Tamandua tetradactyla: one gene and its partners. The protein of the gene in region 3 purifies or fractionates together with the protein of the main gene of each other region. This does not show direct contact. Links are inferred from orthologs where the notes say so. Each region holds a gene or a part of one and is shown on either strand. Other genes may lie near its edges. The genes, in order: RPL35A, CD72, PTPN6 and CD22.

Region 1 (8,466 bases), on a different chromosome or scaffold from region 3:
AGAAATTAAAAATAATGATGAGTGCATGTACCATGCTAGTGCTTTGACTTCTTTCATATTGAACTGGCATGATAAAATTTAGAATAGAGAGCTGGTCTATGGCATCCTCCAGCACTGTGGAGATCCTCAGTACATCTAGAAGAGAGAGTGACTCTGTATTTTCCTGGATGATTTCTACAACAGTATCTTGGACTATTTCTTCTTGTTCTATAGCACTAGGTGGTTCTCCTGTCACTGACACCATCACCTCAGAACGCCAAACTTTGGGAGGAAGGTTTGAGACTTCCAGCTGCCCTCTAGGAAAGAATAAAGAAAAAATATTAGGCACCAGATGTTGAAATATTAAACCTAAAAGCACAAATAGCATATAGATTAGCTCCTGTGAAGTTCACATTGTCATATAACCTAGAAGAAAACCAGAAATAGGAGTCTGCAACTACCTTCTAACTGCTATCTTCTAGTGATATTCTACCAACCAAAGGCAATTTATTGTTTAATAAAGATATGTAGCTCATGCTATTTGACCATGCTTAACCAATTTGAATTTGAGTCAAAATTAACTTTTTTTTTCCTAGCAGCATCTTCAGATGCTAAGTGAAATTTGTCTCATTAATGTAAAACAGAATGTGGTAAGCATCGTCCAAGGCAGGCCAGATCCTTCTCACCTCCTAGTATTCAAGCCCATGTGTATTCTTCCTGACATTGAATAACCTATGTAACTCAAGAGGATACTGTGGAAATGACGGAGTGCAACATTCAAGGCTAGGTAACAAAAGACATTGGATCTCTTACCCTTTGGGAAGCCAGATGCCTTGCCAATAAGGCCCCTCAAACAAGCCTGTGGAGAGGTTAATGGCCTCTTGCCAACAACTTGTCAATTACATAAATAAACCATCTTGGAAGCAGATTCTCCTGCACTAGTCAAGTCTTCAGGTTACTGCAGTTCTGGCCCACTTCAGCCTTATGAGAGACCCCAAGCCAGAACCTAAACAGCTAAGGTGCTCCTAAATTCCCAATTCACAGAAACTGTTTGAAATCATAAATGTTTGTGTTAAGCTACTGGGCTTCAGAGTAATTTGGTACATAGTAGTAGATAACTAGTGCTAACAAAAATATAACAGAAGACATAATTAAAAAAATATATACCAAATAAATAAGAATTTTGGACAGTGAACCTTAAGTTAAACCATGGAGTACAGTTAAAAGTACAATTATTAAAATGTGCTTTCATCAGTTGTAACAAATGTACCACACCAATGCAAGGTGTTAAATAGGGTGGTATATGGCAATCCTGTATTTTATGCATGATTGTGCTGTAGACCCACAACTCCTCTAATAAAAAAAAATACAATGAGCAACCACTTCACACCCACCAGAATGGCTATCCACAAAAAAAAAAAAAAAAAAGAAAAGAAAATTACAAGGAGAAATCACAACACTATTCACTGCTAATGAGAATGTAAAATAAGTTTTTAAAAATTAAAATCTTTGAACATACTCATACTCTTCCATTCTTGGGTTAGTATTGTGACCCTCCATGGCACAAGTATAATCTCACAAAAATGCAGTCACCTGAAAATGGAAAGGAAATATCAATTAGTTTTAGGGAATGTTGTCTGACATTTCAGTGATTTCTATGCCCTTTAATTAAGAAAAAATTAAAGAATTGTAAGAGCTGTAGATTATCTCCCTTGTTTGCTTAGTAGAACAGTCCCAGAGATGGGAGAACTGCTGATATCATTTGGTATGTCTGCTAAGTAGTAAACTTAATTATTGGTCTACAAAAGCTGAAGGTAAAAAGAATCATAAGCCTCTTATTAAGGTAAATTAATATCTAACATGGTTTTGTGGTCTTTTATCGTATTCTGATTTTTTTTTTTTGTATGGGAATCAAACCCCGGTCTCTGGCACAGCAGGCAAGAATTCTGCCACTGAGCCACCATCCCACCAACCTGTATTCTGATTTTTAAATTCATAATCTCTGTACAACAGGTTTCTTTTTCTATATTCTGGTTATTAGTATATTTAATTCAATCATACCACTCTCCTGATCTGCCAGATGACCGAATTTATTGCACCTAAAGTTAGAACACCTGAAATTGCACTTAGAAAAACTGTAATTATCTTGAAAATCAGTTTAATAGTGCTATAAAGATGGTACCTTTCCCAGGTAAACTACAGCCTTTTAGTAATTAACTCTTGAAATGAGGTTAACAAAAGCTAATTCTCTATGGAGAATTTTGCTCTATACTTAATTTTCCATGGTGCCTTTGTCCACGATAATGTGACCATAAGGAGAATGCACATCTCAAGCAATAAAAATTTTAAATGCAAAATTTCAATCACATAAAACAATTTTTACATAAACTGAGAGAAAATAAAAAGATACCCCAAAATAGTCAAATTTTTTGAGGAAGAGGCAGTCCTAGGAAGAGGCATCGTGTAATGCAACATTTTGTTATTTTGATGTATTGCTGTTTCTTTGTTTTTCCTTTTTTTTTTGGATTGAGGCATAGATTAAACGTGCTTGGCATCTGTAAGGTAGGGCTGTGCTTATGCAGAATCCAATGCTTTCATGCTGTTCTGGCTCCTCTAGAAACCAAGGACTAATTACTGCAATCTTTTTCATTCTTGATATCAACCTTCTCCACAATCCAAGCCATTTTCAAATCCTTTGGATTTTATCTCCTATTTCCATATACCCCAACATAATGCTGAACCTAGCTACTGTTTCTTGCTTGAACTATCTATAAGCCTCCAAACTGGAAGTGATCTTTTAAAAATGAATGGTCTTTAAAACTGAAAATCTCACTCTCCTGCTTAGAGCCATTCAATGGTTTCATATTGCCTGAAGACAAAGACTGAAATCCTTAATTTGGCCAATAAGGTCTTCATGTTCCATACCCTCAGTTCCTTTCCAGACTCAGCACTGCCCTCTTCTTGCTCTTTTGGCCCAGTGTCAGTTGGTTTCTCTCAGTTCTACTGAATCACACTCCTTTCCAACTCAGGGCCTTTGTACATGCTATTCCTCCAACTTGAACCACTCTTCCCTTCACCTTGTAAAGTCCCACTGACCCAGTAAGTACCAGCTTATATTACTGGCTTTTTGTGAGGCATCCTCCATTTGCTTCTCCAGATTCAATTTCTACCATTCTCTGTGTCCTGAGAGACTTACCTGTATGGAGTGCATCAATAGAAGTTCCAGAATGGGATTCAAAGAATAAAGAGTATGGTCAGGATTTCTTCCAGCTTCCTCTATGCCAGATCACAATAGGTTGGCTATGTCCCTTTATCAAAGGCCATGGCCTCTGTCAAGAAATCCTTTCCATACTGTTCTCTGCCCCTGGGTATAAGCAACTACTTCCTTCCCATGTCTCTGGGGTCTGTACCATCCCTTGTAGTTTCATTCCAGCCTACACCTTTGTAAACAGACCTATTATTAATATCCTCCTGAAATTACTAGAGCATGTCAATGGTTTCTTTCCAGGACACTGATCGATACAGTGACCCATTACACATATATAAATCTTTATAGACATACAAGTAACCAAAACAAAAGTTTCCTGAAACAACTTACATTGTGATATTTTCTATCATATTTTGTTTAAAAATTATTCTGACAGTGATCTATTAATGGCTAGAAACCTACAGTTTGAAAAATGCCTTAAATGACATATCCCCAAGTATGCGCTCCTTGATTCCTGTGCTCAAGCATTTTTGGCACTCTTATTTTCCTCCTGAACTTTCCTCATAATTTGTTACTGTTTGTTAGTTCCCCATCCCATTTCCGTCTTCAGACTATAAGTTCCATGAGCATCATGGAATCATGACAATGATGCTCACTATTGTACCCTTAGTTTCAGGCATTGTACTCAATGAGTATTTGTGGAATAAATGAACAAATGAATGAAACTCACACTCCTCGCAGGAGTACTTGTATTTGGAACCATGAGAAATAAATATTGGGATTTCAAGCATGATTATGAGACAGAGAACGTTCGAAGAGCAGGGGGGCTATAAGATATATAAATTTTATCTTGATGTATTTATCAGAGGATATGATTTTAATTGTTACTTACACTTATTCATAAAACCTTGGAGTCATCCTCTACTCGGCTCTCATGGTAGTCACTCAATAAACTATTTGTTGCATAAATGAATGAATCCATAGGGCAACCCAAATAAAGTCGTAACAACTAGGAAATGCAAATCTCTGATGACCACAAATCCAGTTCATTCTGGTCTACAAGCATTTACTGAGGACCTATTTTACGTGTGGGCACGATGCTGGGCGCCCTACGTTTCAGTCTGGCTGCTGAATAAGTCAGTCGTCCTAAATAGGCGGTAAGGCTTCCGCAGGGCAATTCTCCTCACCCTCAGTGACAAAGCAAAAGATGGAGGTAAGAACTTAAGTCATTATTTGTAAGGGGTAAAGGAGTACAGGGAGGAAATGAGGCAGAAAAAATGGAGAAAGAAACAGGCTCCTGTCTTGGTGCTCGTAGCTAAGGGTAGGATCTGAAAGAGACTCCGTCTGCCCACCTCTACCCAACCCTGGTGTGGTAAGAAAGAAAGACATCCCATGTTCGTGAATCAAAACTGAGGAACCGAAGCCAGAGGAAATCCTCAGGTTCGGTTTCTCTCTTTCCACTTACGGCTGTCCACGGCGCAGGTACCAAACTAGGGAGTTTCTATGGAAACCCAAAGCCTTGGGGGTCCTTTTCGACTGCTCCTTCAGCTGGCTACCACTTTGCCACCTTCTGTTCCCATACAATACAGGTTGCAGCTTATAAAGATGAAAGGACTTGAGAATAGAATTTCACGTGTGCTCTTGGCGGTGACTTGTTTCTATCAGATGATTTCTGATGTTTGTGTTGCTGGCGGTCGCGGAAGATGCCTAAACTGGGGGCGGGGCGGAGAGGTGTTTATCCCACAAGGCCACGCGGCGGGGCCTCGCCGCTCTCTTTCCGCCATCTTGGAGCCTGTGGAGGTAAGTGAGGCTTTGGTTGCTGAGGTTTTGTGTCAAATAACTGGGGTAAGGCTTCTTTCTGTACCTCAGCGAGGCACCTTTGTGGCTCCGAGGCCCTGTCAGCCAGTGACTTCTGGGGATTCCAGCAAGAGGGTGGACGGGATGGAGGAGATACGGGACCGATGATGAACGATCCCTGACGCTCAGAGAACGGGTGCTCGGGTAATTGGAATTGCTTGCTGGGCTCGAATTGAATGAAGTAGGTTCGTCTTCGGATGCCGGGTCAGTTGAGGCATTGGCTCCTGTAAGCTGAGTTCATTTTCTGTTGGCTTCCACTTTAAATCTAGCTTTGCTTGTTTACAACCTCTTTTTCCTAACATTTCCTGCCCAGCCAGTGTATGTCTGTTTTCTGCGTGATTTTCTGCATACTTGATGTCTTTTTTTTTTCTGAATTTTTGTTTACTGACTTTTCCCGGGTATCCAGCTGGAGTTTCCAGAATGTCAAGTGTGTTTTGCCACCCATCTTCGTTTTTCTTCGACTTACATATTTTTTTCTCCACTTTGGAGTTTACTTAGATTCAAAGACATTGATTAAGGATTGGCTGTCTTTTCATACTCTGCGGTTCATACGTTTCACCATTCTCTCATATGACATGTTGATCAAAAAAATATTTGTCCAACACATTTAAGAAACGAGAAGGGGGCATGGTGGAAGAGTTGCGTTGCAAGATTTTAAACGAGTCTTTTTTGTTTTAAGGCCTGCTGGGAACAGGACTTCTAAAGCGGCAAATATGTCCGGAAGGTACGAGTTTTAAATATTGCTTTGTACTTGTAATCTTTTACTAGGCATAACTTAAATGTAGCTTAAAACTGATAGACGGTAAAAAGTACGTATTTGCTATAGTTAGTTTTTGAGGGGGAACCATTACAAGTCTAATCATACCGGTGGTTTGCTGCCGTTAACTGAGATCTACTAACAGTGTATGATTAATGTTGTTTATTTTGTGTATTTTAGGCTGTGGTCCAAGGCCATTTTTGCTGGCTATAAGCGGGGTCTCCGGAACCAGAGGGAGCATACAGCTCTTCTTAAAATTGAAGGCGTTTATGCCCGAGATGAGACTGAATTTTATCTGGGCAAGAGATGTGCTTATGTGTACAAAGCCAAAAAGTAAGTTTGTGGACTTGTTATACTTTTGAATTTTTACTTATTGAAAGAATAAACTACAGATGTTGGTTATGTCATTGGTACTGCTTTTGATTTTGTTTTGAGTATTTAAGGAACTTCATGGGAGGCTATAGAAGGATGTTATTTTTGTAGGTGGTCTTGAGTTTAGGTATCTTCAGCACTTAGAAAGATAATTGTTCACTGTTTCAAGGAAGGAGCTAATTTCTTATATCTTGATCCTTCTTAGAGTTAATAAAGTGCATTTCATGTGCCTTAATTCATTTTGTTGGATCCCTAAAATTGGTTTTTATAGAGGATGTACTTTTTTATATAAACTGTTACGTGTTTAGAACAGTGATTCTTAGCCCTCCCCAGACCAATGAATATCTCTAGGGGCTTGGTTTCATCCCTGTCTCTTACCTCACACCACCTATACTGCTAAAGTAATCCTATGAAAGTATAAGTCACATCATATGTATATTGGTCAAACTCCAGTGGTTCATCATCTTCTTCAGTAAAAGCCAAAGTCTTTAAAGAGCACTGAAGACTGTGCAGTCTTCTGACTCCAGTTAGGGTCTTTGCAGGCCAGGCAAACTCCCTTTTCACTTGGCTTGTTCTCCTGTCTGGAATGCTCTGTCCCAGAGACTTTATGGCTTGTTTCTCTACCTTCCTGTCTTTATTCCAGTGTCACCTCAGTGGGACCTTCCCTGGCAATTTCAAATTGAGTACTCACTGTCCCTATACCCAAATGTTATCCTCATACTTAACCCCCTTTGCATTATTCCCCTCTAATATTGAAGCTATTAGCATGTGACATACTATTTTACATATTTGCTTTTTACTTGAATATCCTGTGGAAGGAATTTTTTTGGTTAGTAAATTGCTGTATGCCCAACATTTAAAAAGTGCTTGGCATACAGTAGGTGTGCAATAAATATTTTTTGGATAAATGAGCCCAGGTATCCTCCCCCACCCATTTATGGGGAACTAGGATTGAGAGCCATTAATCTAAAAGTCGCCTTGAATTTGTACCAAACTATATTGGTTACCTGAGTTCTCATGCGCTATTCCCCCCCCCCCCTTTAAATTAAATCAGCAACACAGTGACTCCTGGTGGCAAACCTAACAAAACCAGAGTAATCTGGGGAAAGGTAACACGTGCCCATGGAAATAGTGGCATGGTTCGTGCCAAATTCCGAAGCAACCTTCCTGCTAAGGCCATTGGACACCGAATCCGTGTAGTAAGTACAATTATTAGCAAATAACCTTTGGTTTAGTGAGACTACTGTGATTCTACTTTGTACAATGTTACCAGTAGATTATGCTGCAATATTAGTGGCCACTTTGGAACTGATGAATATTAGGGCACACCTGACTGTTGCAAAGTGTCCAAATGGAATGTACCTGAGTTTTAGAATTTACTAAAGCTGCCTGGTAAAACATAGTATTTAAATCAATGGTTTTCTTGCAAAGGTATTTACTCAGCACAGAAATAAGCAGTAGAGAAAGAAAAACTCAACCCATTTTTCCTGAAATTATTAAGAATGTTTTCCCATCTCTTCATCCTCGTGTCAGTTTTGTTAAGGAATTAGGCCTTATTTTATGGACGAAGAGAACTGGTGCTCATTTTCTAGGACTCTGGCCCAAGTCTTGGAGTCCAAATAGAGCACTACTAATTTTTTGAGAGTGCTGCTTCTTACCAAGTCATGTTTCCCAGAAACTGAAGGCTATAAAAAAACCTAGTTCCTTTACCCCCAGAATGTAATGAATGGATGCCTAATGGGAAGATAGGAAGGAACATGCCAATTTGCGATTCTCAATAACATGTAAATTTAATTTATAGCTTTCACCTAATGATTTATGTGTTCTTTTTTTCTTTCCCCAGATGCTGTACCCCTCAAGGATTTAAACTTATTGAAAAGTAAATAAATAAATTTACGAATTTGTTCTCTTGTATTTCTGTTTATTGGCTTAAAAAACTCCTTTCCCCAAAGTGAGGTACTCATATGCTTAAGACGATGGAGGTTATTGTGCATTGGAATGGAAAGGGGGCTTAATTGGAGTCACCTAATAGCTTCATAGCACGTGAAGTTGGAGACCTGTATGTGTGTAATGGGTGTTAGAGTTTTAGAATATAAGATGCCTGTCTGAGAGTTTTAAGAGGATAGAAGGAGTACCTTAATAAAGGCCTTGCAGAGGAGGGCAGTGGGAAGGATTATCCTGAAAGGTTTTATGGGGATGGAGCACTTGAATTATATTTTGAATGGTTTTTGACCAATGAAGGAATCGTATTTCAGTACACATGTAAACCAGAAGCTTTATAGCTAGTTCTCAT
Region 2 (7,962 bases), on a different chromosome or scaffold from region 3:
TCTGGAGTCATCTTTTTGCCCTGCTGCAGACATTCGAATCTTGAGTTTGCCTTTCAGATATTTGCTCTTCTTTTTAGCTTTGTGCCATCAGTAAATACAAATGTGTTTTCCATGTCATCATTCAAGACGGGACCAAGGAGAGCCCGGAGGCAAGTCACTGGAGACCTAGCAGCACTCTCTGACTTCAGGAATTCAAAAAGTTGCAGGGGCCCCTCTTTCTCTCCCTCCTGAATCTGAAGCTATGGTTACGGACATTTAGAGATGCCTTTGCCACAGTCTAGACCTATTATGTTTCCGGCAATCACACCATCGACCGATATCAGACATTACCTGAATGATTGCATATTTTAAAGATGAAAACCTTGGAAATTGTGACTTGTCTTAAGTCACATACCGTGATAAGGCTGGTTTCTTTACTCCCAGTATTGTGTTCTTTCCATTACATCATGTTTCCTCCACAGTTCAGGGAACTTGTCAAAACATTGTATATTAGTTTTCTATTGCTGCTATAGAAAATTACTGCAAACTTAGTGGCTTAACCAAGAAGAATTTACTCCCTTACAGCGTGTGTAGGTCAGAAGCCCAACGTGGATCTCACTGAACTACAATCAAGGTGTCTGCAGGGTTACATTCTTTTCTGGAGGGTTTAGGGGAAAATTTGCTTCCTTGCCTTTTCCAGCTTCTAGAAGCCGACTGCGTTCCTTGGTTCAGGGCCCCTTCTTCCATTCTCAAAGGGAGCAGCGGGTTAGTTGAGGCCTTCTCGTGTTGCATCTCTCTGACCTTCTTCCATCATCGAGTCTCTCTCTTCCCACAGCCAGGAAAGATTCTCCCCTTTCAAGAACTAATGTATCAGATGGGCCTAAAACAGGATGAGCTCCGCATCTCACGGCCCTTAACATAACCACACCTGCGTTCTGCCATGTAGGTAACATGTTTACCAGGGATTTCAGTATGCACATCTTTGGGAGGCCATTATTCTGCCTACTACACCCTGTCAGTAGGTCAGGGGGTAAAGTAGTGAAGATTTTCAGAGATTAAGGAGACTTCCCTGACTTCCTGATGTTGGCTGGACTTCACCAAAGTTTATGTAGATGAACCCTTACCCATGTTGCAAATTCTTTCCTGATGCCCTCCTCTTGTGTACCTTAACAACCCATTCCTTTTTTTTTATCATCACAATCAACTTTTATTTCTCTTTTTTGTGAAAAATAACATATATATATAAAAGCAGTCAGTTTCAAACCACAGAACTACAATTCGTTGTAGAAAAGATTTCAGAGTTTGGTGTGGGTTACAATTCCACAATTTTAGGTTTTTACTTCTAGCTGCTCTAAGATACTGGAGACTAAAAGAAATATCAGTTTAATGTTTCAGCAATCATATTCGTTTCTAAACCCTACCTTCTCTGTATAACTCTTCCATCACCTTTGATCTTTCTATCCCACTCTTTAGGGGTATTTGGGTTATAGCCATTCTAATTTTTTTCATTTTGGAAGGGGCTGTCAATAATATGGGATAGAGAGATGGAATTAGCTGATGTTTTAGAGAGGTTGGGCCCTTTAGGTTTCAATATTTATCTGGTCAGAGGCCCATTTGGAGGTTGTAGGTTTCTGGAAAGTTACCCTAGTGCCTGGAACACTTGTGGAATCTTATATATTGCCCTAGGTGTTCTTTAGGATTGGCTGGAATGGTTTTGGTTGGAGTTTGGCAAGTTATAATAGGTAGCAATGTCTAAACTCATGCTTCTTTTGCAAGAAAGAGAAATAATCTCTGAGGTTTAGGCCATTATTATTTTGGCTTTCTGTCACATGCAACCAATCCTAACTGTAACAACGCATTCCTTGTAACAAGCAGTGAAGAGTCCAGGAAAGGGCAAGAAGCGGCTTTGGTGTTTGTATCCTAGGGTCTCAGATGATATTATGGTCCTGGGAAAGCTAAGGTATGCAGCACTGAACTTCAACTCTTAACCACCCCCAGGGGTTCCTGATATTTGGACAGTAGGAAATTACAGGTGTCCTTTCTGATGACCAGCCTGGAAGGTCACGTGAATGTCAATATTGCAAAGATCCCACACGGCACATAGGCGGAAGGTGACGAACTCTGCTTTCACATATACCCTATTCACAAAGCAGGCTATAAAGTGACCTAAGACAGAAGGGAATGCCAAACATCATGAATAGACAGGTAATCATCACCTAAAGGACTAAAAAGAAGAGAAAGATAGGCTGAGCCTGATCGAGACATCCAAGGCAAGCTCCTTCTTCTGGGGCTGGGTGTGTAATTAAGCTCACCCAGTTTCATCCGAGTACCCACTTCTTAAACCTGTTGAAGAGTCAAGGCAGGCCGCATGCCCACTGGCTCCTTTAATCAGTGCATACTGGGAACTCTGTTTTGGCATTTTATCTGGCATCCAGATTATGGTCACCTGTGCATCTGTTTTGAAAACGGGGACATTCATTATGTTTAGGGGATTCCTGCAAGTGTTCTTTCAACGGATTCACACACAAGCTGCCTGCCCCTGCCCCCACCTCCATAACCCACAGACACAAGAAGACTGTCCCCACCTGTCCCTGCTGCAGCTGCTCTATGCACTCCCACTCACTCTCATGTGTCCCTGAGGTCCCCAGGGAGTCACCAGCACACAGCCTCTGTTATCTGGGGGCGGCTCTGATGGGGAGAGGGTGCGGGGTGGAAGTGGGGGGGTTGCTGGAAATCTTAATCAAGCAGGGACCGTTAACAGCTGCACTGACACCTTAGGAAACAGTGAGCCTTAAAAAGGAAATACTTGTAGAACCTGTGGCCATGACCTTTTAAGACTTTTCTTAAAATGGCTGTCATTCCCTGCCCCAGAAGAAAAGAACATCTCTCAAAAGCACCCCTCGGGCCCCAGAATTCTGCAGGTTTAACCCTCCAGATAGGCTGTGACGCAGCTGCTCACCTAGCACAGGCACTCCTACCAGACCGCAAAGAGCTGGCACTGCGCGGGGCACACTTGCGCACACAGGCACACCCCTGCCTCTCCTTCAGACACATTTCTCAGGCGACAAATGTGTGCTTCTGTCCCCATGGGCACTTTCCCCAGGGCGGGGCGGGGCTGCTGGGCAGCTCTCCGGACAGACCCACAGGACCCCTTGCAGCGCCAAGCCACACACCACCACTCATACAGTATGAGCTGTTAGCGTGCCATTAGGACCTCTTCCCCCTTCCTTTTTCTCCCCACAGCTGCAGAAGGGGTTTTTGAGGGGGCAGATGTCATCCGCTGGGGTGGGTATTTTTTCCCCACCTCCACACCGCCGTCTTGTCCCAGAGTTCTTTCCAACCCCCAGAAGGAGGCCCTGTTGGGGTTCCCTGGAATGGGGCACGCTCTCTTAATAATGTTAGGGAGCACCTCGGCACCACTGCTTGACACCCCTTCTCCCCTCCCTGGCTTTCCCTCTCTCCTCCATCAGCTGGGCCCTCAGCACCTATGAGGCCTCTTAGCCACCGCATCCTCTCCACGGTGTGAGGAGGCAACGCTGGATTTTTTTTTTTCCGGCAAGTACTTTACTAGGAAAATAAGGAGGAAACTAAAACCAAACCAAGAAAATATCCTTGCTTAGTCCAGAGTCTGCATGCCCAGCATCCCGCCCTGCTTCCTTTCTTTGCCTCACCTTTAAGAAACTGCAGGAAACTTTTTTCCTTGCTCTCCCACGAGGGTGTACGAGAAGAAGGCAATGCGACCACAAGCTTTTCCAGAGGGACACGAGCAGTACTGCTGCAGGTGCTGAGGTCCCTGTGGTTGTTTTTTTCATCCTCACCCCCAGCCCAGGCCCACTCCTGAGCCTCTGCCTCCCAGGCTCTGCCTGTTGGGTACTGCACGAGTTCAGATGTAGGGACACAGAGGATGACACAAGGCTGCAGGGGCAGGCTGGGAAAAGGATGAGGCTGACCAACCACAGTAGGGCAGCAAAGACCTGATGGGGGACTGGGGACGCCGTCAGAAGAGAAGCATTTGGTCCCTGGTGTTCTGTATCTGGGACGGGCTGCCACATTCCCGGGGAAGGCTTTTCCGTGACAGCAGCCCTGTGTATGTGTGTGATCTGGGAGGTTCTACAGGGCTACAGCAGGGAGGGAGCCCCCAGAGTCCCCAAGTTGATGAGGGAATCCACCACACAAAGGAGTCTCTTTCTGGGAAGAGATGCACTGGTGGGAAAAAGACAAGGTTCCCCCCCTCCCCCCACACCCCAGGCAATGACTGGGGATATTCTCTGGGATTATTTGGGCACAAGAGACTATAAATCATAGGTCCCAGCAGGCAGTGCAGCCAGGAGGGGAGGCTGGGGTAGATCAGGGCAGACAATCAGAAGGAGAGCTATTTGGAGCTCAGCATCACCAAAGTGGGTCTAGGATGCACGAAGAGGGAACACAGGCAGGATGCAGGGACAGATGACAGGGGGCCTGGGACAGGCCCATCCTCTGCTCCATGCTCTGGGCCCAGTTTCCCCTCCCCAGCCCCTCTGGCCCCGGCCCAGACATACCATTGCTTCACTGAACCCATCTGTCTGAGGCTTGCTCACACCTTCCTCTTTTGTGACTGGAAGGCATTGGGTAAAGTGCCAAGCTGAGCAGCCACAGCAGAAACACATAGCCTACAAGTGTGAAGGGACAGAGAGGAGAGTGGCAAAGGAGGCTTGGGGACAAAGGACAAGGCAGGGAGTGGAAGCATTCAGGACCATGGCTGAAGCCATCACCTATGCAGACCTGCGGTTTGTGAAGGCTCCCCTGCAGAAGAACGTCTCCAGCCGGTTAGGACAGGGTAAGGGTGGACGAGGCATCTCCTTGATTCTGTCTGTATCCCCATCCTCGTTTATGACCCCGTCCCCACCCCACAGACTCCACCCCCCTGAGCCCGGCCTGTCTCCTTTCCAGACCCAGGAGCTGATGAAGATGGGGAAATCACCTATGAGAATGTACAAGTGCCCTCAGCCCCAGTGGGGCCTCCGAGCTTGGAGCCCTACGGACTAGGGGACAAAGCAGGTATGGGGAGCCCAGGGGATGTGTGCTTGTGGGGGACTGTGTCTTGGGCTGGGAATTCCCACAGGATTCTTGGGAAGGTGATACCCTTCCGGGAAAGGGAAGGAAGTCTTAGGAAAGATGAGAATAAGAACTGGATAAGGCAGTTCTGGATAAGAACCAGGCAGAGAATAAAGATCCAAGGGGCTAGGAGGGAGACCCCAGTGGGGAGATGAGGGATGTGGGGAGTGATGGCGTGGCCCTGCTGTGAGTCACAGTAGAGAGATGAAAGGGAACCGGAGCGGGAGGAGAGCAACCTCAGAGAGAGGGTGGTGGTGTGGAGATACGGGGATCCCTGAGGGAAAGATCAAGGGACACGCAGTAGGGAGATGAGGGGGACCCCGGGGAAAACACAGTTGAGCCCCAATCGAGAGATGAGAGTCCCCAGGGAGATGAGAGTCCCCAGGGAGATGAAGAACTCCTGAGGGTGACAGAGGTGTCCCAGAAGATTCATAGAGTGCAACACAGGACACACTGCGGTCTCAGCGTAATGGTGGTAGTGAGGGGAGAAGAGGAACGGAAGAAAGGTCCCTCTCTGGTGTTTCGCATCTACAAATTGCAGCTGGTCTCCTTCAGCAGGGGTTAAATCAGAGCAGCCAACTAAGGCTTGGAGCTCGATGACGTCACCTGTTGCCGGGCGGAATCTCCCGGGTGAGTATCACGCCCTCCCCACCCCGCGCGCCCGTGACCTGCTGCTGGCCTCGCGCGCGAGTACTTGGGGGTGAGGCCGCCGAAGGCCCGATCGCTGCGGGAACATTTCCCCACTTCGCAGACTCTGAGTCCCAGGGAAAGAGTCGGGGGGTGGGGGTGGGGGGGGGAAGGCGCTGATGCCTGTTCTGTCCGGGCTGGGAAAGTGCTGGGCCCCATAGTGTGCAGGTATGACCTCGGGAGCGAGCCCAGGGAGCAACCCTTAGCACCACCCCTGTAACATGGTGACCCTGTTCCCTTGTCCCCTTACGCCCATCCTCATGTCTATCATTTAGACATGTGGATCCAGGCTGGACACCGTCCCCTACCCCCACCCCCAGCAGACGATGGCCCCAAAACCCGCTAGTCTGAGGCTTCGTGCCTCCTCCTACCAGATAATGCCCCTCAATTCTCTTTATCAGCAACAATCCCCAGCTCTTATTCTGAGGGATTCCTGGGGCAGGGGGGAAGGGTTCCCAATCCCTCCCCTGCCTGTGAAATATTCCCACAGGCGCACAAAAACCACCACACTCCTCCCTCATCAACCCTGCACCCCTCCTGTTAGGGATACTCTTTCTTCATGAATGCCCCCCACCTGCCAGCCCTTCACTGTGTAACTTCCTGGGACTGACTGCCCTCCTTCCACTGTCTTCCTAAGGCTGTGCAGCCGGCATGCAATACTTCCTTCTGGGCCTGCTCCTCACCTGCCTGCTCTTAGGGGTGGCCTCCATCTGCCTGGGAGTGCGCTGTGAGTACTGGCTGCTCTTTCATCCCCCATCCCTCCACCCCCATTGCCCACTCACTTCCAAACAACTTATTCCCTAAACTCCCCAACAGCCACCCTTCCTCAGCAGGGCCCATAGTCGTTACCATCACGTCCGTCCTTGTCCTCCTTAGCCTTTGGTCTGGTTTCTAGCCAGGTCTGGCTTAGAGCACTTGTGTCTGCCTAAAGGATCCTTACCTAATCCAGTACCTCCTTAAACTTTAGGCAGTCAAATCTTATATTTCAGCCTGTTGTGCAATAAGTTACAAGAAGTTAAAAAAAAAAAAAAAGAGTGGATGCTGAAGTCTCAGGATACTGGGGCGCAGCTGGAAATGCCCTCCAAATTACTCTCTGTGGCCAACAGATCTGCAAGTATCTCAGCAGCTTCAGCAGGTCAACAGGGTTCTGGAAGGCACTAACAGCAGCCTGCGGAAGCAGCTCTACCTAAAGATAACTGAGCTGGGGCAGAGGAAACAGGATCTACAGGAGTTCCAGAAGAAGCTGGCCCAGAGTCAGGAAGCATTACAGGCAGAACAAGGGAGTCACCAGGCTGCAGAAGGGCAGTTACAGGTCTGCCAGTCCAACAGGGAGAAGACAGAGGAGATTTTGCGACGTGAGGAGGGGCAAAGGAACAACTTGGAGCAGAGGCTAAGCAGCACACATGACATTCTGAAACCCTACTTCAGATGTCCCTCACCAGGTATCTGCTCTGGAGAGAGGAGAGATGGGAAGGGTCTGCTGGGAGGGATGTATTGAAGCAAGGGGACACTAGTCCTATCTATCACAGGGCGTTGAGTTGATCAGGAAGTGGGGAGTGAACCAGAGTAGTGGCTGACATGAGCTGTGCAGCTTTAGCCAACAGGGAGAAGGATGAAGCTACATGGTGCCTCTAGGAAGACCACATGGAGGGAGAAGGAGGGTGGCAGCCAGCAATCCATATCACACTGTCCAAAGCAGCATGGTAAACTCATCTGGCTTTACATGTCAAGGATCTGTGAACTCCCTGAATTTGGATGTGAAATTGGTTGTTTACACATTTTTCCAAAGAAAGGGTCCATAGCTTTAATGAGGTTCTCCAAAATCTGAGACCCCTTCTCTCCAAAAGGTTAAGAATTACTGACAGATGAAGTGCAGCTGGTGGTAGTGCAAGGCAGCTGAAGTTCTCACGCACGGGTGGCATGCACAGTGAGGTGGGTGGCAAGTACTGTGGCCCATTTTGAAAGCATCCATTTTGAAAGCAGGAGTCCAGCCTGTATGTGGGAATGGGGTAGAGAGATACTTACAGGGGAGAGTGTGCCAAAGCAGGCTGACATTCTAGGCAGGATGCCAGACCTAAAGGGACGGGAATGTTTATGAACTGGTTATCTATGGTTGGGGTTAGGCTTGATCTTGCTTGTGGTGAAGCACCAGTAAGATTATATGCAGACACCCCCAGCCCTGAGTTCTTAACTTCCTTATCT
Region 3 (7,730 bases):
TCTCATTGACCCTCTGGCCTCAGGGTCCCACCTTACCCGGATCCCCTATCCAGCCGGGACCCTCCCCAACCCCCTTCTTCCTCATCCTCTGCACGAGAATGAAGTTCTTCGTCACCAGCTCTTTGGTAAGGATAGAGGTTGGGGGTGGGGATGAGCTAATGAGAAATTGGCACGAAGGAGGAATTTGAATGGTGGGGTTGGTCTGTTTGAGCTTGGGGAGGGGTGAGGAGGTACGTAGAGGAACTGGGAATGGGCATAGGCAAGCTGAGGCATTGCCTCAGAGAGGAGAAGGTTTTAGTGCCAGGCTATAGAGGTTGAGCTCCACCACTGACAACCTGCAGGGTCTGTCACCTAACTTTTTTGGTCTTGGTTTCCTCCGAATGTAAAATAGCTAGCTGTCTCTTGGCCCAGAGTAGGTACTCAGTACCCATCAGTCATGTGCCCCTTACCCTTCCTGCCTACAGCTGCCCCCTACCGGGACTTGCCAGCCTCCCTCTCTGCCCCGATGTCAGCAGCTCACCAGCTGCAGGCCATGCACGCGCAGTCTGCGGAGCTGCAGCGCCTGGCACTGGAGCAGCAGCAGTGGCTGCATGCCCATCACCCGCTGCACAGTGTGCCGCTACCTGCCCAGGAGGACTACTACAGGTATAGGGCACCTGAACCAGGAGGGAGGGCAAGTGGGCTCAGCCAGCCTGGAGATGGGTGTAGGCATGCTGGGGTAGGGAACTTGGGCAAGGAGGGGTCAGGTCAGGGTCAACTGGAGTCTCTACTCACTGCTTTTACCCCCATCCCCAGTCACCTGAAGAAGGAAAGTGACAAGCCACTGTAGAATCTGTGACCAAGAGAGTACCACGGCCCTTGCATCTGGACCTTGGAGGCCCCCCCTCAGCCTGCCACCCAGAGCCCAGGAGAGAGTGCTGCTCAGTTGCAGGACCTCCGTGGTTGGGCAGAGGGAGGGAATGTGTGGGGAGGTGGCCAGGGTGGGGGCAGAAAGCGCACAGTATCTTGGACCAGGACCCTCTTCTTTATCCCCTGCTTTCCTTCTCCCCCATACCCAAACCCCCGGGCCACGGCCCCTCCCCATCCCGTTGGTGTGATTATTTCATCTGTTAGACGTGGCTGTTTTGAGTAGCATCGTGTGCCGCCCCGCCCAATCCCCGTGTGCGCGCGCCCCCTGCGATGTATCCCCCTCGTCCCTCCCCATATTAATAATTTATATATATAAATATCTATATGACGCTCTTTAAAACACATCCCAACCAAAACCAAGCAAACAAAAATATCCTCACGACTCTCGAGGAAGATGGCTGCGACTGGTTCTTTGCGGGCTTTGGGGGCTGGTGGTGCGGTATACTGCTGCGGTGCCTGGAGAGGCTGGCAGCAAGTGGGAACAGACGAACCTTTTGAGGGAACTGGGTGTGGGGACCCCGAATTGGAGAGGGGATCTTGGAAGACTAATGGGTTCGTTGGGGGGGTGCCACTCCCCACTCAGTGCTCGCTCCCTCTTCCCCCAAGCTTGGGGAAGACACTTATTAGAGGCCTGGAATGGGCCAACCTCTGACGTGGCTTGGCTAGAAAACTACTCTGGTCCCACAGCTGCAACCCCCCAAAATCCTCTGGAACAAAGATTTCAGAATCCTGCATCCTTTCCATGGAATAGTTGGAGAAATGATTATAGGGATGAGGTGAGCTTAATCTCAAATAGGTCAAGAACCCCGAAGCTTTAATTACCCTTGGATTTGAAGAAGGAGAGGCTGGCAATTTGAAAAGCCTTGAAGGTAAGTAAACGCGTCACGCTGCAGCACCTATTCCTGCACAAAGCCTTTTTAGGGAAATGCAAAAACTGCGCTTACTCCAGGCTTTTATTGAGCCAAATCGATGTCTTCATTCTTAAAAATATTCAGGGTTGGGGTGTGACTGGCTGTTCTCTCAGCCAATCAGTGTCGGTTCATTTGCATAGGCTCGGGAAAACCGTTCACAAACTCTAGAAATGAACGATTTAAATAAGTTCCTCAGAATACTGCTTTTTTTTCATGGGAGTGCCAATATGTCTCGCGGATTATATATTAATGAGAACTAGGAATAAATAAACAATTCTGCTCCGAATTCACCCTCATCAACAGTGGAGTCCGAAGGTATTCCTATTCTCTCCAGGACACACGTTATCGGTGTTGCAGCTCTTTTAGAATTTGTCTAGTAGGTTTTCTGGCTTTAGCCGGAAAACCCTCGTTTTTGTTCGAAATAATAGAGCTAGGTTTACAGAAATTCGGTTGTTTGGTTGTGGGTTCCGTAGTGTTTGTGTGGTGGTCTTACATATCCCGCCGTGGAGTGTTAAAGGTTATGCGAGAGTAACTTCCGGTTGCAGTAGGTTGAGTTTTTCTCAAACCACCTCTGGCCACGGAACAGCTTTCGGAGTCGGCTCCTACTTCCCGCTCCTTCCCTCGCTACGTTATATCCGTAGCAATTCGTCCGTATGGCGGCTGCTTCGGCCCAAACCGCACCCCTGAGCGCCGAACAGGCGAAGGGTGAGGAAGCATTCCCAGTTACTCGTGTAGACCATCTGCTGTTGGGAGGATGAGGGTGCAGGATCGGGAGACAATAGTGGCTGTCATCGTCGGGGGTAGGAGGGAAGGATGGGAGGAGAGAGGATGGAGCTGTCGCGGGGTGCTGTCTCCTGCTCCTGAGTGGGGTCCTGCCCCCTGAAGGTAGGGATTAGGGGCCGAGTTTATCGGGTGGGCTGCCGATGGCCTCGGCCCACTAATTCCTGGCGCATTTTCCTGCTCTCTTGTCCGGACCCACCCACGGTGGTCCACCGCCTCCTTCGGGCTCTTCCCTGGATGGCCCTGGCGCACAGTGGTTCTAGCCGAGGTGATCCAGGCGTTCTCGGCCCCGGAGAACGCTGTACGTATGGACGAAGCTAGGGACAACGCGTGCAACGACATGGGCAAGATGCTGCAATTTGTGCTGCCCGTGGCTACGCAGATCCAGCAAGAGGTCATCAAGGCTTATGGTTTTAGCTGCGACGGGGAAGGTGGGTAGACGGGGTATGGGGGTGGGTCGGGGAGAGGGGTGGTGGGGCGCTCGTGCCCCTTTGCCGTCGTGCCCCTTTTCGCCACAGGGCGGCGGCCACAACCCAGCAGTGTTGACGCCAAGGATCTAACCTCAAATTGTGCCAACCCAAGTCTGAAGTCCATTTTGTGGTTACCTGTTAAACATTATATTATCCCATTGTAAGATTAAGAAACAGACTCTATCTGTAAAGTAAATGCCCAGAGTCGCAGCAGAACTGGACTTCTAGCAGTTTAGTGTGACAACCACAAGATGTTTGGCGCCCCCGTCACAGTGTTTCAGCTAATATCTTTTTGGGGATTTGTGTGATTCAATCCCAGCTGTCCTGTGATCTCCTGTGTTGGTAACAGACCTGGGATCTTGTGGACGTTCATACTAGGGCTCTTGTGACTTAACTGTTAAAATGGTTCACCTGAGAGCGAGGAGCACTTTACTTTGGGATTGTTTCATTCACTGTATTCCCAACTGGTTGTGCCCAGTGTAGACCAGGAAGTGGTTGATCCAAACCACACAGGATAGAGGCCAGCTGGTGTCCTGTTTTTCAGACAGCTCCCTGGTAGTGGGGGAGCAACCTATGAGGCATGTTCAAACTGCCCCCTCCTGCCGTCTTGGTCCAGCCCTCCCAGGCGTGAGCTAACTCTCCACTCCCTCTTGCAGGTGTCCTTAAGTTTGCTCGCTTGGTCAAGTCCTATGAAGCCCAGGATCCTGAAATTGCCAGCCTGTCAGGCAAGCTGAAGGCTCTGTTCCTGCCGCCCATGACACTGCCGCCCCACGGGCCTGCTTCTGGTGGCAGCATCGCTGCCTCCTGAGGGGGTTGGTCCTTTCCTGTTGCCCAGTGCTGCTGTCTGGGAAGGGAAGGCCTTGGTGTTTCCAGAGGATAATAAACGTGCCTGTGTCTTGGCCTCTGCGTCAGTCTTTTGTGATCCTGACAATCTCCACCTCCTGTCCCCTGATTCCCTTTCCGTTCCAGGCTGCCCCACATCTTCTCATCCAGATCCTTCCTCTGTGCTCTGCTGGCCTCCCACCTGGAGCAGGTGAGGGTCTCAGGCTCCTCAATCCTCCCCATCGCCCACAGGGTGAGAGTATGGGCTGGTACCCTTGACACCAGGACAGGTGGGCCTGCACTGTGGTGGCACTTCCTTCTCTGAGGAATTAGACTTCCAGGGCTTTTACATCGCCTCATTGCTTTCTGTGGATTGTGAGTTTCCGCCATTGGTTGACGTTCCCTTTGCCAGGGCTACTTCCTGGTTTCCCGGCACCTGCCTTCCTGCTGTCCTGTCAGGTGGAGCGCCAGATGACTCCTCCCTCCCAAGGGAAGGAGGCCCTGGATAGGCAGGCAGGCCTGTGGGACAGTAGAGTGGAGCTGGAGGGGAAGCGGGCTGTTGTGGGCGGTCTGAGGCCAGCCCCGCCCCACCTGTCCCTTCTCCGGGGATCATTAGTCCAGGGGCTTATCCTAGCAGTGCCATTGGCCTGGCGGGTGGGATTAAGGAGGAAGTGGCTGAGTTCTGAGCGACTTCCTCTCCTGGCTGGGCCACTGTGCTTAGCTTGCCCCTGGTTTGGCCCCACCCCCTGCGGCCCACTGCCTGTGACTCCTCCATCCCTCCAGGGACATGCTGTCCTGTGGGTAAGTCCCCTGTCTACGTAAGTCCCCAGGCTTCCGTAAGTTTGGGAGGGAGGGGCAGGTATGTGACCATGAGTGGGACCTTCTGTGGGTTTGCTTCCTGTGCCAGTGTGTCCCCCTCCCCAGGATGTGAGGACTCCTAAGCGCATTCATGCCCCCTGCCCCCTTTTCTCCTGCCTCACAGATGTCTGTCTATTCTCACCATTGCCCATGAGAGCTGGCGCCCTGGGTAACCACATTGTCTCAAACATAAGCCTGAAAGGCAAACCTGAAAAAGCGTTCCTGCTCCCACTCAACTTCCCCTTCACATCCCAACCTCTGGCCTTGGTTCCATTCCCTTTCAGTTGCCCTGAACTTTCCCATTTCTCACATCATTCATTCAATAGGAGACTACTGAGCATCTGTTAGGTGCCAGGGCCTGCTTAGGTGCTGGCAATGCAATAGTGACAAAGACCCGGACGGCTCCTGCTCTCATGTCCTTCTAATAGGAGGCACCATGTAGCAATCAACCCAACAAAATAATTTTAGATCCTTACAGGGATTATGTAGAAAAAAGAAACTGCTCTAGTGCTTGCAAGTGACTGGGGTTGCCAGGGGCATTACTAGCTGCAGGGATCAGGGAGGATTTCTCTTAAGGAGGTGTCCTTTGAGCTGAGACCTGGATGATGAAGAAGAGGCAGCCAGCCATGTGGTGATTGGAGGTCAAGCTCCCGCCATGGGCCGAGGGAATGGCAGGTACTGATGTGGAAACAAACAACAAAAGGACAGAATGCCTCAAGCCCAGTAAATTGGAGGAAAGGCAGGCAGGGCCAGGGCAGGCTGTGCCTTTTCTAAGTGAAGTCCTGCTTAGAGAGTGTTGGTAAGTTTGGGCATTGCTGAGCACCCCCAGTCCTGTGGGTCCATGCTTCTCACACTCACATCTGCCCCTTCCTTTCTGTTGGCACTGCCTCCCCTGCTGCACACCCTCCTTGCTGTCAACCCCCACAGACAGGATTCTTATGGGGTCTCTGGTCCCTGATCCCTTTCACACTCAGGCACCTTGGCATGGCCTCCCCCTTGCAGAACCTTTCCTTGGCTCCCTGGCCTGGCCTGGGAAGGCTATCTGCAGCTGGGTCCCAGTCTCTCGGGCCAACTTTGCTCAAGCCACACTGCTCAGCTCATGTCCAGCACTGCCCCTCAAGTGTCTTCTGTGCCTGCTGCCTCTGGGCCTTTGCAGATGCTGCCCCTTGTGGAATGCCTGCCCCCTTCCTTTTCTACCATGGACTGTTCCAGTGACCACCCCACCTGTTCCATGAAGCCTTCTCCAGGAGTATGGTTGGTGTGGTGGAAAAGGCAGTGGGTCCTGGCATCAGTCGAGGTTTGTCCATCTTCCCTCTTACTAGCTTGTGACTTGGGCATGTTACATAACCCCTCTGCACCTGAGTTTTTATTTCCAAAGTTGAGCTATCAATACCCACTAAAAGGTAGACATGAGGATTAATAATGTCATGTAAAATCTGTTGGCCCTGAAAGCTATCACCTATCAGCTTTTTATATCAGTGTTTGGGAAATATCATTAAGCCTATTTATAGGTGGGGATACTGAGACTCAGAGGAGTTAAACTACTTTCTAGAAGTTGTTTCACCTCGTCTGCCCTTTGCCCTTTCAGACTGCTTGTCTTTAGGTCTCACCATTGATCTTGGTCTCCGCTTTTATCTCCTTGTTTCCCAAAGGAGTAATTTTCTGTTCTGAATTATCAGGCTCTTAATATGTAACTCCCAGCTGCTCTAAGCCAGTTTCCTCCCCTTCAAAAACGTAGAAGATATTCCTACATCACAGGTCCATCCATGGCCAAAATAGGATTATGCACGTGCAAATGCTCTGCTAACTCAAGAGCATGGAACAACTATCAAACTTTATCTTTCTTCCTAAAAAAAATTTTATTGTGGTGACATGTATTCAACATAAAATTTCCCATTTTAACCACTCTCGAGTATACCATCAGTGGTAATTACGTTAGCAGTGTTGTGCTACCATCGCCACCGTCCATTACCAAAATGTTTCCATTGCCCCAGACAGAAACCCTCTACCCAGTAAGCAGTGACTCCTCGGTCCCCACCCTTGCCCCAGGAACCTGGAGTCTACTTTCTGTCTCTATGAATTTGCATATTCTAGTTATTTCACATAAGTGAAATCATATGATATCTACCCTTTTGTGTCTGGCTAATTTTGCTCAAAATGATGTCTTCAGGGTTCAGCCATGTGGTCGTGTGTATCAGGACGTCATTCCTTTTTATGGCTGAACAGTGTTCCCTTGTATGGATAGAACACATTCTGCTGATCTTTTCATCTGTAGACGGACACTTGGGTTTTGGGTTGCTTCTACCTTTCAGCAACTGTGAATAATGCTGCTATCAACATTGGTGTAAGAACATCTGTTTCAGGCCTTACTCAGTGGTTGGGGGTTATTATTTTAAAATTTCCCTGCCAAGGGGCAGCAGAGACTGACTGTCCATCTCTTTGTGTCTCTACCTTCTGACTGTGCACATTTCAGATAAATTCCTGCATCTTTGATGAGTCAGGAGTTTCTGGACGCTTAGTTAGATCTTTCCCGACAAGTAGGTTTAAGCTGAGGAGAGAGAGTGGGTGGAGCCAGGGTGCAGGAGGTATTTGGTGCTGAGCACGGAGCTGAGGTCTCACATGTGGTCAGGACCCGGTGCTCATGTGTGGGCGTTTACACTGGACCAGATATGTGCTGGACTTGTAGATTTTACTATTTGTCCTTAACTTTTTTATTGTCGTATAACACATAATAATGTGCCTAATGTGATACGAAACATTCCTAGAACCTCAGAAGTTTCCCAGAAATTGCTGTCTCCAAGTCAAGTTATTTATTTTCCGGGAGGTAATACATGTCCGTGATACAACATTCAAAAAGGTATAAGTGTTCCTGCCAGCTCTGTCTGCCAGCCACCCAGTTTCCCTCCCTAGAGGAAGCCGTGCATGTGAGTTTCTTGGCCATCCTTTGTTGGATTTCCTCTTGCTTTACTTGGGTATTGTC
Region 4 (7,498 bases), on a different chromosome or scaffold from region 3:
CTGCAGTTGGGGAGGGGTTGCCGACCAGACACTGAGTAGGGTCAGGCTATGAAGATAAGTGACATGGTAAAGGTTCCTTGTCCAGCTGGGAAGGAGCAGCTACCTTGAGTTTGCTTCTACTTTGCTGGCTGCTCCCTGGCCCTTGATAGTACGTGGCGGGTGGAGGGGGCTGCTGGTAGCTCGGTGCAACAGCAGGTCAGTTTCACGGATATTTTGATCCTCACCCCTGCCCCAGCCCATCTCCTAAGAACCCAGGTGTCCTCTTACCACTAGCAGTCCTGAGGGCACCGGGGTCTTCTCTGTCCCCAGACCGACTGATGTGGGCCAAGATTGGACCTGTGGGTGCTGTGGTGGCCTTTGCCATCCTTATAGCCATCGTCTGCTACATTACCCAGACACGCAGAAAGTGAGTATGCCTGCCAGTGCTGATCTGGAGATGCGGGGCTCTTCCAGGGTGGCTGGAGGCTGAGGAGTGGACAGCCCTGTGTATTGGGGGAGGGTGGCTCCTGCTTTGAGGACAGGGTCACTGTTGGTCAGAGGCATGCCGGTCCCTGAGCTGATCACGTTCCTCAAATCCAGACCTGTTTGCCCATGTCCTCTGAGCTCTGGGAACTCTCCCCTATACCCTCTAATGTGAGGCAGAAAGCCCAGGTATCCCTGACTTGCAGCCCAGCATGTTCCAGGACCCCCAAGAATCACACACATTGGAGGCAACAGAAGCACTCCCCAGCCCCAACCTCACCCACACAATGCTGCTGTGATTTTTCTTCCTGGTGGGACACCACATCAGCTGTTCTGAAAATGAATTTCCCTCCCTGCTGCACATCCTGGCAGCATGAGGGCAGGCAGATGCAGAATGTACAACAGCCAGGCTGAGCTCCTGAAGTGACAGAAGCTGGGGACCTGGTGGCCCATCCTCAGCCAGGGCAGGAAACTCCCCAGGCAGGGGAGGAATGGGGCAGCCTTGGACAGGAAGAGGTCCTGTTTGCTCTATCTTAGAGAGAGGATGGGGAAACTCAAGGGGCCCAAGGGCCAAAGCCCTTAGGTAGATGGGGGTGCAAAAAGAGAATAGACAGGGGTGGGGGTTCCCATGGGGGCTGACATGTCCTGCCTTACAGAAAGAACGTGACAGAGAGCCCCAGCTTCTCGGCCGGGGACAACCCCCCTGTCCTGTTTAGCAGCGACTTTCGCATCTCTGGGGCGCCGGAGAAGTATGAGGTGAGGCCAGAGTCCTGCAGCTCCAGGCTGGCTGGGAACCAGAAGCCAGGGACACCAAGGGCCTGGGAGGGCCTGGGAGGCTGGGGTCTGAGGGAAGCTTCAGCGGGTAAGGGGAGCCGGGATGGGGAGGAAGGGTAGATGGCTACCTGGACTTCCCGGTTGAGGCTATGGGCCCTGGGGCCCAAGGGACGCCCTTGTGGTCCCCACCTGCCCGCCCGGGCTGTGACTGAATTTCCTTCTCCAATAGTCCAGAGAGGTCTCTCCCCTGGAAAGTCACTGAGAGCCCCAGAAGGTAGGTTCTGGGGCCTCCGTGTGTGTTCGTCCTCGTCAGCCGTTCAGAATGGTCCTGGCTTAAGCCTGCCCCTGCCAGCAGTCCCAGCCTTGTCTATTCAGTCCCGTTGCTGCTCCCTCGTCTGTGGCCTTTGTCCTGTGTGTACCCAAAGGTCTGCGTGGGGTGGGTGGAGGGGAAGGGATGCATGATGGGAAGCCAAAGGTACACCTACAATGTTTCCCAGATTGAGGAGGGGGCCACAGCGGACTCAAGCCTAGGGGGAGGACTGATGTAACAAGGCATTTAGACATCCCTGGAAAGGCGGGGTCCCAACCACGTGGAGAAATAGAGTGTTTAGGCAAATCTCAAATTTAGCTACGAGGAGCTTGTTGAGTGTGGTGGGAACAGAACAGACAAGGGCCTGAGAGGGTCAGATGTCAGGGGTTTAGCAAGGCGGAGCCGTCCTTGGGGAAAAAGAGTCACACAGAGCCTGGGCTGGCTGAGTTCATGCTTTGGGCCTGAACTCCAGCCTTTGCTTCGGAAAAGTGGGGGCAGGATGCTGCCAACAGGATGCTTCCCCTTACAGAGCGAAAGGCGTCTGGGATCTGAGAGGAGGCTGCTGGGCCTTCGGGGGGAGCCCCCAGAGCTAGACCTGAGCTATTCTCACTCGGATCTGGGAAAACGACCCACCAAGGACAGCTACACCCTGACGGAGGAGCTAGCTGAGTATGCTGAAATCCGTGTCAAGTGAGGGAGCCGGGGGCAGCCCGGGTGGCCACCCCCCTTCAGGACCCTCGCTGACCCCCGCTGGCTGCGGGCCCCCTTCCTCCGGAAAGTAAAGGGGACTGGGAAAGGAAGAGGCTGGGGAAGGTGACAACAAGGTCCTGGGGGCCTGGCCTCCCCCTCCTTCCCAGCCGCCTCCTCCCTGAGCACCCCCACCCCACACTGTGGCTCCCCTCTAACCTCTTTTAACCTCATCTGTCTGGAGGGGAGTTCTGTCTGTCCGTGTTATTTATTGCCATTCCTGCCTGGTCTCCCACCTTCACACCTGGCCCTAGGGCCTCAACAAAAGGACATGAAATAAATGCCCTGAAGCCAAACACACTTGTCTAAATCCTGATGATTTCAGATACACCTTTGAGGGACCTTGTCTCCCCATGGCCTCCAGAATGATCACAGCCTCTCTTCTTGCCCTCAGCTGGGCCCAGTGGAGGAGTAAGGGCCAGGGATTCTAGCCCTAAGCCCAGGCTAGTCACCCTAAAGGAGTGCTCACTCTGAGCTGTCGCCTGCAGGAGAGTCTGGCCCACAGTGTTCTAAGATTGACTGCTGAGTGATTTCCCCATATTGAACCTCATTTCCAACTTTTGCTGCAGACAGATCTGTGCCCACATTTGCACACAGAGGGACGCTGCCTCTTGGAGGGACAGGGCTCTCCAGGTGCCACAGTCCCTACCATTACCTGCTGTTCCACGCCTGGCTGGTTTCACTCCCAGACATTACTTCCTGGCGCTTGCAGGATGGGGGGTAGGAACCCAGGTCTCTTGAGCTGTTCCTCAGATTCATGCTGCACTGTGCAGCTCCAGTCTTCCAAATCTCACTCCGTTTGGTTCAGGAAACATGAATTAGGCACCTGCTGTGTCCTGGGCCCTAGACCTCCTGGGAAAGTGAGAACCTGAAGCTCAGAGAAGCTAGATGATTTCCCCAGGGTCCCAGAGCAAAGAGATGGTGCAGGCAGATACAGGACTCAGTTCTTCTGCTTGAAAATCCTTTTTCTTTTTTCTTAAAGGGGAACATAAAGCAGACTAGACTCGAAAACAGACCACCATTTGTTGAGTGCTGATTATGTGCCATGTAATTCTACCCACTTTTCCATTAACCCACTTACATGCCCTACCAACCTTGGCCATGGTTCTCAAAGTATAGTCCCTGCACCAGCAGCATCAGTGTCATCTGGGAGCTTGTCAGAAAGGCAAATGTGCAGCCTATCCCAAAGGAATCAAACCTCTGGGGTGGGCCCAGCAACCTGTGTTTTAACGAGTCCTCCAGGTGATTCTGATGCCTGGGAACCACTAGGAGATGACACCGTTATTCCCTTCCTGGGGCAGCTGAGGCCTAGAACAAACATTCATTTGTTCAAGGTCCCAAGGAGCCTGCCCCATATAGCATCAAACATCCCTGTGAGAGTGGAAAGACTCCTCACACAAGCTAGCCCTAGAGGCAGAGAGAAAACCTAGGGCTGCAAACGGTCAGAGTTCAGAACTTAGAACTCCTGGAGCAAGGCAGGGTGTGAGATCACCCTGGCTGGTAGCTGTGGGGCACAGAGCAGAGCCAAGCAGCTGGCTCCGGAGCCCTGGCTCTTGCCACTGTGAGTGCTGACTGCCATTTTGGTGAGAAGGAGCCAGAGCTTGCAGGGAGCTGGGGCATTGAGGGAGCAGGAAGAATAAAGCTGGAAGACTGGAAGCAACCAGGGAAGGATTTCCCAAGGAAGGCAGTTCTGCACTGGTTATGGAAGAGGGCAAAGGATCCAGGGCAGAGACTAAAGAGAAGGCCCGGAGATGGGAATAAAGAAGCCATCTGGGCAGGGATGGTGACAAGGCCACTGGACTGGAATAGAAAGGCCACACACAGGAGAAAGGAGGCTGTGAGGTGGTATCTGGGCTGTGAATGGTCGGGGAGGGTCCCTCTGTGAGGTCATCCATCCAAAGGCCCTTCTCTGAGTCCTGCTCCAACCTGGCCTGCTGCTTGCCCTTTCTTCAGAACTAGCAGTCTGGGCAAGGAGAGGGACATTACATAAATAATCTCACACAGAACGCCTTCCTGCAACTCGTGACCTCTGCACCCAAGGGGAAGTGCAGGGCTTTCAGAGCAGATGAAGTAAGTATGGGCAGGGTTTTGGGGTCAGGAGAAACTACCCTATGGGAGGGGAATCCTGGTAGAAGCCCCCCCGAGTCTGGCACAGGAGCACCCTGTCTGAAGGCCTCGAGGAACGAGTTGGGTGAAATACAAGGCCGGAGGCACTGGGGAGAGAGGTGGGAGAGGCGGTGGCTGGGGTGGTTGCACTGTCCCCACCTCCCGCATACACACTCAGCACCTGTCCCTGACAACAGACCCTGGCTCCGGCAGGTCTGGCCCGGCAGCGATGCCTGCTGAGGACTTCGCCCTGAGGAGCTGGGCAACGTCAACAACAAGGGGCGGGGGGGGTGGGGGCGGCTGACCCAGAGCTGCCCAAAGTGAGGTCTGAGGGTCAGGCTGGTGCCTGAGATGAGCTGAGGGGAGTGGAAAGGTTCCTTTTACCTTACTATTTATGTTTCATTTTGGCAAAAGGAAACCGGCTTACCAAACTGGTAAATTTGTGTGTATGTGCTAAAAACTTAGGGCGAGACTAACCAAAAAAAAAAAAAAAAAAAGAATAAGAAAGAAAAAGCAATCAAATGAATACATTTAAAGAAATAAAATGTTGCAGGTGATTCACAGGGCAAAGGTCAAGATGGTCAAAGACAAAGACCTGAAGTTTGAGAACCAATGAAGTCCTCCACTCACAGACCATCTCTGAGGAGGACCTGACATTCAGTGACACAAGCAGGAGCTGAGCTGAAGACATCACACTCCTGGACTTTGTCCACTCATCCCCCCAAACTGTGCATCCCATGCACGTGGGATGATTGACTGCCCGCTTGCGCCTCAGGCCGATGCTGGGCTCTGGGATCCAGCAGGCACTGAGCAGACACACTGCCTGCCTTCACGGGGCTGACAAGCTTTGGATGTGACAGACACAATGAGATTATCAGGGTTAGAGCCAGTCAGAAGAGAGGGAAACCAAAACTAAGCAGGAGAGAAGCACGGAGGGTGCAGGGCCAGGCTACTGTTTCAGAGAGGGAGCTCACTTGAGTGGAGACTGGAAGGAAGTAGATTCAGGAAGTGGATTCTAGAAGGAGCATGCCTACTGGGGTAGGAGTGGAGGCCCAAGAAAGCCTGATCACAGCTGGCTGAGGGTCATGAGCAGACTCGGAGTGAAATGGGGAAGCACTGTAGAGTATTGGGGGCGGGAGTGCCTGAGGTTTAAAGACCCTGCCAGCAGTCCTGTGGACAATGGGCAGAGGTGATCTGCAAAAGCAGAGAGAAGGCTCCATAACAGGTGTCTGTGAGAGGAAGCAGAGATGGAGAGAAGGGGACGGGGTCAGGATCCATTTTGGAGGAAGAGCTGGTGGGATTCATTAACCCTGGAGGTGAGGGAAAGAGGGGAGTCAGAGGGGACTCCAGCCACTTTCTAAGATGCTGAAGATCGGGGAGGGAATGTGCTGGGTGGAGACCACAAGTGCTTTACTTTGGCCATGTTCGTTCCTGGGGAGGGGCCCAAGAGAGGCTGATGGCACTGGGGACTGGCAAACTGAGGAAGTCAGAACCGATGACCCAGTGACTCATGCACAGCTAAGAAGCAGCAGGCTGGAACAAAGATGAGCAGGTCTCACAGTCTCAGATCTTGGGGACAGATAGGCTGCCCCACACTGGAGGCAGGACAACCAAGCCCAGGCCAGGGTCATGACAGGGACCTCTTTGTCCCTCCCCTCCCACCAACCTATGGGTCACCCCTGGCTGAGACGACCCATCCCTGGCCTGCCCCCATCCTGTCCCAAGGACCGTGCCTGGGGCAGGCAGCTCCATTATCCTCACTGATGAAAGGGATCCAGGCTGATGCTGGCCACTCCAGAGTCTCCTCCCCAGTCAGATTCAGGCTGGATTGGGCTCTCTCGATGGGATGGGGGTGGACCAGATGTGGGGATTCAGGTGGCTGCTCAGCAGTAGCCACACCTCCTTCTCACCCCACCCTCCTCGCTCTCAACTCTGGCCTGCTTTACCTTGGCCGTGCTCATTCCCAGGCAGGGCAGCAGCCACACAGAAAACCTCTGCCTACTCCCAGGCCTCGGTCTGCCTGTAACATCTTCTCTGGGATGTGGGAGGGAAACAACAGCTTGGTCTCAGGCAAGGCTGTGTCACCAAAGTATGTGTGTCGACGTCACCATGCATGTGTTGGTCAGCAGAACTAGTGACAATGGCAGCTCAGTCCATGACAGGCACTGTGCAGAGTGCCCTGTGTGCCCACAGTTTCTCGCAGCACACCCATGAGGTAGGCACTTCTGCTATCACCATAACCTGGAGGTGGGCAAATGGAGGAGCTGTCACCAGCCTAAGGACCCACAGTTGAGAAACAGCAGAACTGGGAGTAGAACCAGGTCTGTGTACCACAAGCTGATCAGATGCTGTGCTTGCTGCTGAGAGGGGTGACTTGGTAAGCCTATGAGGAAACCCCATCCTGACCCTTGTCACAGAGCCCTGGGGAGGGGGCTCAGAGAGGTACACAGTGGGGTGAGGGATGTGGTGGGAGGGGGTGTCCAGGTCTCACGCTGCACTCTTACTGGCTTCACTCCACTACCTCCCAATCAAGGCACCCAAAAGGAGACCACTTACCTCTTCAGGGGGAAAGATGGAAGGAAGACATCAAAGCTTTTGTCTCAGAAGTCCTGCTCCCCCATCCCTGCCTTCTCCTTTCAGCCTTTTGCTTCCAGAAATTGCAACATGTCCATGAACCTATTGCCCAGTTTCCTCCTGTTGTGAGACCATGAGCAATGTCTAGAGCTGGGTATGGCAAAGGCCTCAGATGCTCCTTGTAGGCAACGAGCAGGGATCAAAGACCCTGCTGGGTCGGTCCTCCGTCTGGGAGATCTTTATGATACTCCCCCTTGGCCTCAAGTCCCTCACTGAGATTGCTGCATAACACAAACAAACAATAAACAACTTTCTATTTTGAAATAATTATAGATTCGCAGGAGGTTGCAAAGATAGAACAGAGGATTCTATGCCCTTCCCTCATTTCCCCTGAATGGTTACTTGTTACATTAATTGCATACAGTATCAAAGCCAGGAATTTGACATGGCTACAATGTGTATACAGTTGTAAGTCATTTTATCATATCTATAGATTCTGTAACTTCACTGCAATCAAGATGCAGA

The links.
Region 1: the proteins of PTPN6 (region 3) and RPL35A purify together in Homo sapiens (affinity purification with mass spectrometry; 3 studies listed by BioGRID and IntAct, with this or other methods). This does not show direct contact. The link is inferred for Tamandua tetradactyla from reciprocal best matches to the Homo sapiens genes PTPN6 and RPL35A.
Region 2: the proteins of PTPN6 (region 3) and CD72 purify together in Homo sapiens (affinity purification with western blotting; 3 studies listed by BioGRID). This does not show direct contact. The link is inferred for Tamandua tetradactyla from reciprocal best matches to the Homo sapiens genes PTPN6 and CD72.
Region 4: the proteins of PTPN6 (region 3) and CD22 purify together in Homo sapiens (affinity purification with western blotting; 5 studies listed by BioGRID and IntAct, with this or other methods). This does not show direct contact. The link is inferred for Tamandua tetradactyla from reciprocal best matches to the Homo sapiens genes PTPN6 and CD22.

What each region holds. Positions count from the first base shown.
Region 1 is NC_135336.1:18,702,764-18,711,229, forward strand, and holds RPL35A (large ribosomal subunit protein eL33), read left to right. Parts: upstream 1-5,218; 5' UTR 5,219-5,241; coding exon 5,242-5,270; intron 5,271-5,723; coding exon 5,724-5,768; intron 5,769-5,981; coding exon 5,982-6,134; intron 6,135-7,227; coding exon 7,228-7,372; intron 7,373-8,016; coding exon 8,017-8,040; 3' UTR 8,041-8,087; downstream 8,088-8,466.
Region 2 is NC_135328.1:60,159,106-60,167,067, forward strand, and holds the start of CD72 (B-cell differentiation antigen CD72), read left to right. Parts: upstream 1-4,558; 5' UTR 4,559-4,713; coding exon 4,714-4,795; intron 4,796-4,908; coding exon 4,909-5,016; intron 5,017-5,628; coding exon 5,629-5,703; intron 5,704-6,397; coding exon 6,398-6,487; intron 6,488-6,866; coding exon 6,867-7,202; intron 7,203-7,962. UniProt on the Homo sapiens protein: Co-receptor of B cell receptor (BCR) that plays both positive and negative roles on B-cell functions. Recognizes the Sm/ribonucleoprotein (RNP) self-antigen ligand, and coligation of CD72 and BCR inhibits BCR signaling.
Region 3 is NC_135333.1:69,240,859-69,248,588, forward strand, and holds the start of PTPN6 (tyrosine-protein phosphatase non-receptor type 6), read left to right. Parts: upstream 1-4,454; 5' UTR 4,455-4,679; coding exon 4,680-4,693; intron 4,694-7,730. Other genes in the region: ATN1 (atrophin-1), read left to right, coding at 1-125, 465-645, 796-829; C7H12orf57 (protein C10), read left to right, coding at 2,474-2,525, 2,855-3,031, 3,727-3,878. UniProt on the Homo sapiens protein: Tyrosine phosphatase enzyme that plays important roles in controlling immune signaling pathways and fundamental physiological processes such as hematopoiesis.
Region 4 is NC_135342.1:30,854,082-30,861,579, reverse strand, and holds the start of CD22 (B-cell receptor CD22), read left to right. Parts: upstream 1-4,168; 5' UTR 4,169-4,363; intron 4,364-4,952; 5' UTR 4,953-6,776; intron 6,777-7,498. Other genes in the region: MAG (myelin-associated glycoprotein), read left to right, coding at 310-406, 1,119-1,218, 2,076-2,240. UniProt on the Homo sapiens protein: Most highly expressed siglec (sialic acid-binding immunoglobulin-like lectin) on B-cells that plays a role in various aspects of B-cell biology including differentiation, antigen presentation, and trafficking to bone marrow.